2 linked regions of the Rattus norvegicus genome follow. The protein of the gene in region 1 purifies or fractionates together with the protein of each later gene. This does not show direct contact. Links are inferred from orthologs where the notes say so. Each region holds a gene or a part of one and is shown on either strand. Other genes may lie near its edges. The genes, in order: Dhx8 and Nkap.

Region 1 (3,235 bases):
AGTCCACAGGGTAACAGGAAGGACACATCCTCTCTTTAGGCATTTGGCCTACTATTCAGCACTTAACTTACAGTTACAAGTTACTAACGTGAGGCTGAAGGAGAGATCCCATGGCCCAGGATGAGCCCAAGATCCCCAGGGCACCCAGCATCTCCAGTCTGGCTTGGCAGGATGATGGGTCTCTCATCAGCACAGAACCTCCATAGTTCTCAGAAGGGGGCACTAGGAAAACCACTAGCAGGAGTGAAGGTATGGGTCCCTCCCCAGACCACAAGTCACCTCGAAGCAGCTGAGAGCAGTGCTTGCTTTCTGCTGACAGTGAGGTAACACTGTCATAGTGGTGTTCTTTGCTGTTTTAAAGGAATTAGGACACACTGCTCAACGACAGTGGCAGGAAGGAGACAAAGGATCAAGGTGCCACTAGGTGCCAGACTGAAGCACTCTGGCGCAGATTTGGTTAATCCGGAGCTGTCAAGGCTGAGCTAGCCCAGCAGTGTTGAAAGACAGACTGGAGGTTTGGCCCATGCATCATGTCTGGAGACATGAGAGAGGCCTAGGCTATGGGATCAGGAGGCTCTGCCACGTGCACCACACTGAACTCAGGCCGAGAGCCTAACCTTGCAGCTGCCCCTGCCCAACGAGACAAAGTCATAGTAAACCACTGTTTCCTTAAAAAAATAAATATTTCTAGGAGGTAGAAACCCAAGTACAGAGGCCAGGGAGTGGTAGGGAGTGGGGCCAACATGGTACATGAGAGTCATGGTTCACTCCTTCAGCATGAGCTGGGGTATGGGGCCCTGGCTGGGCCCGCCAGGCATCACAGTCACGCGTGCCCCTCGCCCATCCCAGGATACACAACTTATCTAATTGTTCTTTTGTGTGTGTGTGATTTTTTTTTCAAGACAGGGTTTCTCTTGGTAGCCCTGGCTATCCTGGAGCTTGCTCTGTAGACCAGGTTGGCCTCAAACTCAAGAGATCTTCCTGCCTCTGTGTCCCAAGTGCTGGGATTAAAGGCTCTGGCCGAAGTCCTGCTTAGATGTTTCTGTCTTACACTATGGAGAGAGTCAGGCTTGGAAAATGCTCAGTTTAAGATTAAGTCACCACAGGACTAGCTTATTATCAGCCAGAGGAAGCCACAATGCAGGAGAGGCGAGTGGTCAGCTGTCTTTCAGCGCCGCCGGAAAGCACGGGAGATTCTCCAGGCGTTCGGTTCCTCATACCGATTGTACAGAGGCTCCAGGCGCTGCTGCTTCTTCTGCTTGCTTAGCTTGGTTGGGTCAGAGACTTTGAAGAAAGCCGGAGCAAACTCCACAAGCCACCGGGGGTCGATGGTGGTGACCTCACGCATGTACTCCTTTGTGGTCAGCACCAGTTCATGGTATACCACCCTGTGGGAGACAGACAGGACTCAAGCCTTAGAGTAGACCCCACTCCACAGCCAGTTCAGTCCACAGGGGACCACGGCTGAGCTGCATTTTTTTTTTTTTTTTTTTTGGTTCTTTTTTTTGGAGCTGGGGACTGAACCCAGGGCCTTGCGCTTCCTAGGTAAGCGCTCTACCACTGAGCTAAATCCCCAGCCCCTGAGCTGGCATTTTATTCTATCACTTCTCCTGCCTGATCCATTAGGAAACTGTCAAAGCCACACTCCAATACTGCAAGCCCACACCCTTCCAATACAAGACGGCTCCCAGAGAAACAGCTCTAGTCCTGTCTCTGGCATGAACTAATTGAGTGACAGTGAAAACAGCCCTGTCCCATCTCTAGATTTCAGTTTCCTGCTCTGTGAAATAAACCAGTGGTTTCTCAGATAGTTTCCATAGAATTCTAAGGCTCTTGAGAGGGACCACAGAGATATCACCAAGGGATAGTGAGGACCAAGTGGGCAAGGCAGTGCAATAGAGCCAGGTATAGTGGCACACTGTGTGTGTGTGTGTGTGTGTGTGTGTGTGTGTGCGCGCGCGCGTGCGTGCGTGCGTGTGTGCGTGTGTGCGCGCACTCGCGTGCGCACGCGCATGCTCATGTGCATGTGTGTGTTTTCTCTTCTTCCACCTTTCTGTGGGTTCTGGGGATCAAGCTCAGGCCATCTCATTGACCAGCACCTTGTACTTGCTGAGTCATCTCAGGTCTGTTTTTGTTCACTTGAGACCGGGTGTCCATGTGAATAATCCAGACTGGTCTCAAACTCAAGGCAATCCTCCTGCGTTAGCCTCCTGAGAGCTAGGATTACAAGCATGAGCCATAAACTTTTTAAACCAACACTGAGTGTAGAGGCAGAGGCAGGCAGATCTCTGTGAGTTCCAGGCCACCCTGGTCTGCATAGTAAATTCCAGACCAACCAGAGATACACAGTAAGATCCTATCTTAAAACAAACAAACAAAACAAAAACCCACAAAGCCTTTTTAAGACCATCTCATTAGATGATTTCTAAGCCCTTTCCCTGCTTTTACCCCTATAATTTTACTTCTCTTAGAAGGGCTATTTATGGGCTGGAAAGACAACTCAGGAGGTAACATGCTTGCCTTTCGAGAGTAAGCTCAATCCTCAGCACCAACAGAGTGCTGGGCATGGAGATGCGCATTTGTGACCTCAATGCCGAGGAGGCAGAGACACGAGGACACCAACCAATCTAGTCTAATTGGTGCGCTCCAGGCAGTAAGATTATCTTAAAAGGAGAATGCCTCCTGAGGCTGTCCTCTGCCCTCCACAGACATGCACAAAGGTACACCTGTATACACACAAATACATATTAAAGAAAAAGGGGAGCTTGTTAGTGTATCTAATTTGGGGTTTTGCTACTCTAGAAATACAAAGTCAAAAGGAGACATGGAGGATGCTGGAGATTCAGAGGCTCTCTCTGTGTAGAGCCTGCCACCTACCATTCGGGCTGTCTGTTGAAAAGAGCACTGGAAGGATGGATATAGACCACCTGCTGGTCAATCAATGTCCGGTAGCCCTCCTGGGGGTCCTTCTTGGCAGCATTCCGGAAGAAGCCACTGCAGATGGCCTTCTGCACTCGCACTGTGGATTTACCACAGGAGACCACATCCAGCTTGTGCCTATCAGGGCAGTAAGAGCAAAGGAGACATGAGCCTGCTCTGTGCGCAGGGTGCTAGCTGCTCAGCATCCCACCTTAGGGTCCTCACAGTGGTCACCAGGGCCTTCCTCCCAGCTCACTACAGAGGTAGCACTGGATATGACAGGCAGAATGAAGGAACTAGAAGCCAGACACTTGGC
Region 2 (4,512 bases), on another chromosome or scaffold:
CCTAACATCCAAGTTGGTTAGCTCTCTCTCTCTTTTTTTTTTTCCTTTTCTTTTTTTCGGAGTTGGGGACCGAACCCAGGGCCTTGCGCTTGCTAGGCAAGCGCTCTACCACTGAGCTAAATCCCCAACCCCAATTGGTTAGCTCTCAGCTGCCTATAATTCCAGGTCCAGGAGATGTGATCCTTCTGGCCTCCCAAGGCATCTATACTGACATATCCATATCCATACACAGACACACATACATACATATAATTAAAAATAATAATAAAAATGATACTGAATGCCATGGTGGATGCCTTTAGTCCTAGTACTTGGCAGGCAAAGGCAGGCAGATACCTTTGTGTTTGAAGCCAGCTTTATCAACCTAATGAGTTCCAGTACAGCCAAAGCTATAGTGACCTTGTCTCAACTCCCTTGACCCAAAAAATACATAAAATAATTCTTTGAAGAAAAAAATAAGCCTGAATTCCTTAAAGTTTGGCAGCTTGTGACTCACATTTAAAAATCACTACAAAAGATAAAATTGGCTTTTCTTTTCTTTTGTTTTAACATCTTTGATCATGAGAAAAGGCATTGATAACTATATAGAGAGAGACTTGGGAGAATTTTGTATTTTGCCAATCAGACAATTTAGAGATGGGATGAAACTGTTCGTAACTGCTGGGGAAGAATGGCTGCCCAGCCATAACAAACACAGAAGTCTCATGTCTGTTGCTCCTATAATATGTTACAATTTCTTATTTTAAAATACAAGGTATAAAGCCTACTGCTGTGTCTAAGACAATGTTTAACAGGCACAATGAACTTCATATCATCCAAAAGTACGAATGCAAATTTAATCCAATCATTTAACATTTCAGTAAACCCCTTACACCTCTCAGACTGGATCTTCTCATGGAGCAGGGTCTAGCTAGCCTTCAGCTCCTGGTGGTTCTGACCCTCTCTTCGGTGTTGGGATTACAGACATGATCCTGGTTCAGCATTTGCTTTTCGACTGACATACTCCATGGGTACCATACCATAGGTCTCTAAGAATTCAGGACTGTTTGTTTGTTTCCACGCACTTACGGACATTATTACACCTTAAAAGCCTTGTTACAAATTTCCCTCTCCCCAACCCGAGTTGCTGCTCCAACTCAGGGACTCAGGTCTACTAGGCACACTCTTCCCCCTGAGTTACAGCTCCACTTCTACGGAATTTTAATGATGAAGAAGTGAAGCTCAGAAAGGTCTAACTCCTCCAAGACTACCCTGCTTCCTGGCAAACGAAGCCTTCACACTCTGACAGTGTGATTCTGAAACTTGCCCCCTTTGTTGTTATACTTTATTGCTTCCCTGATGGGAAAAAACATAAAAACATCTCTGAACTGTTGGAAAGTTTTGTTCTTCAATGCCTGCAATACTTGAAATTTTAGTATTTTTAAACACATGGTATGGGGACTAGTTCAGTGCCTAAGACATAATTTTTTAACAAACATAATAAACGTCATATATATTAGATACTATGACTAATGCAGCAATATAAGCCTCTCAGGGTATCACTCTGCCTCAGGCCTACCTTTAATTTATTCTGTAGTATGGACTGGCCTCAAATTAATTATGACAATCCTGCATCGGCTTTAGTGAGCCATCATGCCCAGCGTTTGAATTTAAATATTTCTTGAGACTCGGTCTCATGTAGACCAAGGTGGCCTTAAATTTGTTACATCAATGAGAATGACACTGTTCTGACTTCCCTCAAGAGACTCATAGCTGTTGCCACTAAAGGTCTGTGTCTTTTTAAACTAAGAACTCCCATTAGAGGAGATCCAATCTCTTTCCCACATCGGTTTTCATGGTCAACACGGCTGAGACTTACAAGACTTTTCCCAACATAGCCTCATCTAATTATCCCTTTTCCTCAGAGCCAATACATACACTTAATTACAATACTTCCCAATTCCCTGCAAAACTTTTCCACTGAAATATCCTCTTATCTCAAATTTTTTCTGATTCTTCATGCAACAAGAAACAGCTGCATGCCTACCAAAAGGCAGGTACTACTAATTCTCTGATCAATAAAATCACAGACCTCTATTACAGTTTAGTGAGGAATAAAGACAGGTGTACGGATAATGGCACAATCAAGAAATACAATAGCGCCGAGCTTCTTTGTGATACCAGCCAGCAAGCCAAGAGGGGGAAATAGGTAGTGGGAAACCAGATCCCTTTATGAAGAAGTCTAAGGATGAATGAAAATGTAAGTTAGGAAGGATAAATAAAAATGTCATGGGGTGGATTGAAAAAGAGATGAAAAAGGTGCTAGGCGGGCGAGAAGCGGAAAAACAAAACAAAACAGAAACAATGAACGACAAGCTGGAGTCAAAGGCAGGCGGAATCGTCCAAGAGAGGGTGCGGCGATCTCACTCACTTCTGCCGCAGACTCTCCTCCCTTTCCTTGTCCAGCAGGCTAGGCCATGGCTTGTCACCCCCGTAGGGACGCGAGTAGCCGCCATAATAGGCGGACGAGGATGAAGACGCGAACGGGGCACTCCGCTGTGCAGAAGGCCGTTCTCGAGAACGCGATCGAGAGCGGGAGCGATAAGATTGGTTTCGAGAGCTTTGGCTGAAGCCACTCAGCGAATGGCTGAGGCCATTCCGGTCACCGAACCGAGAACAAGAGCGCGAGCGAGACCGGCGACATCGCGGGGAGCGGGAAGATTTGATGGATTTGGGGCTCCTCGACGAACTGCGACGCTTTCCCCCGGAGGCCTCCCGTACAGGGCTACGCGAGCCCGACACAGGAGCCATGGTGGTGTGAGCTGAACCGGCTAAGGGGCGGGACAAGGAGGCGCTCTCCTTGTCCCCTAAAGGTTCTCGGATACCTAGGGTCTTAGAGCTTGCAGCGACCGAACTAGAAAAAACGCAAGCAAACAAACAAACAAACAAAAAAACCAACTTGGAAACAGTTCCGGGTACAGCAGTAAATCCCTTCCCCTGGACTCGGAGTCCTTGCAGCCAACAGGAAGGGATGTGTGTATCTCCATATAGAAGCCGGCCGGGAAACTGGGGACACGCTCTCATCCAGTTCCTAGTGAGGTTTCTGAAATCTAAACTGCACCAGATACCTAAAAGAACATTATGATGAATGCAACACGTAGTTCATTGAGTAGCCATATAAGCAACACCGCCAATTTTCCCCGTATTTCGTGTGGGACTATATTTGCCTGTATGGTGTGCGCGTATGAATCTGTGTGTGTATTATAACTCCCACCCCCACTTTTTTTTAAATCCTAAGCAAACAAAAGAGGGTTTATCACGATTAGGGTTAAACTTTAATCTAAGATCATTGTTGTCCAGTTCACTTAGAAGGCATACATTCTTATAACTTCAGTGTGTTTTACTCCGATTAGTTTAGCGACCCAGAGAAAATCTTAATACTTAGTTTCCAGCCACCCACAAATGTCCCACAAAACAAAGTTATCAAGCCCCTTAAACTAGTCCATCATACACTAGCCCAGCAAAATATAAGGTAGACGATTCATAGTTGTATGTATCAAGTATTATTTTTAGGTGAAAGCATTCAAATATTAATTTTGGTTTTTAGTTTTTTTCTGAAATTGAAATACAATTATGTCATTTCCCTTTCCCTTTTCTACCTCCAACCGTTCACATGGGCCTCTTCTTGCTCTTTTAAATTCATTGCCTCTTTTTCTTTAGTTGTTGTTACATGTATCTGTAACTATAGCTGTTGTAAAGTTTTCACCAGAGAAGACTGCTTGGACATGGGTTTCAGCCAGTAGAAAGTCTTCATTAGCTGGCCAGCAACTACCCTGGGTGTTTGTGGTCCCAGCTTGGCCCCAGCCTTTCTCAGGATGAACTTTTCAGCACAGAAACACACACAAACACATGTCCTGGGTTGATATACTTCAATGAACAAGAACAGTTAGCCAAAAGTGAAACTGCAGAAGTCAAAGGCAAGATTAGTAGCACCTTTAGAGACTTTCCCAGAACTATAAATGGATTATGTCTTTGGTTTTGACAGGTGATACTATCTACATAGTGAGTTTTATAGCCCAAATGATGCTTCCATTATGGAGTCAGTTGTGCTAAGGTCTGGGAACCTACTAAGGTCTGGAGCATTGTTACAATAACCTGCTTGCTCTCTCTCTCTCTCTCTCTCTCTCTCTCTCTCTCTCTGTGTGTGTGTGTATGTATGTATATATGTATGTGTATATCTCCAACTTGGAAACAGTTCCAGGTACAGCAGTAAATCCATATATATATCCTGTCTGTTTATGATTTCAGGACTGACCATTTGGTATTGGATGATCAACTGAGGGAAGACTATTATTTCTCCTGGCTCTCAGCATTACCTATTTGCCTGTAGTTCTTTGTCTAGGGTTAGAGCCTCTTGAGATTTCCCCCTTTCATGTTACCATAATCTACCTGTTGATGTCATCCTTGGCAGATCTTGCTTCAGTAGTCACATTCCTGAGACTTCGTAGTTTCCCTCATTTCTAAGGGATGCAG

Evidence for each region.
Region 2: the proteins of Dhx8 (region 1) and Nkap purify together in Homo sapiens (co-immunoprecipitation; 3 studies listed by BioGRID and IntAct, with this or other methods). This does not show direct contact. The link is inferred for Rattus norvegicus from reciprocal best matches to the Homo sapiens genes DHX8 and NKAP.

The regions. Positions count from the first base shown.
Region 1 is NC_086028.1:87,201,856-87,205,090, reverse strand, and holds the end of Dhx8 (ATP-dependent RNA helicase DHX8), read right to left. Parts: intron 3,058-3,235; coding exon 2,878-3,057; intron 1,389-2,877; coding exon 1,169-1,388; 3' UTR 665-1,168; downstream 1-664.
Region 2 is NC_086039.1:121,237,089-121,241,600, reverse strand, and holds the start of Nkap (NF-kappa-B-activating protein), read right to left. Parts: upstream 2,888-4,512; 5' UTR 2,791-2,887; coding exon 2,411-2,790; intron 1-2,410. UniProt on the Homo sapiens protein: Acts as a transcriptional repressor. Plays a role as a transcriptional corepressor of the Notch-mediated signaling required for T-cell development. Also involved in the TNF and IL-1 induced NF-kappa-B activation.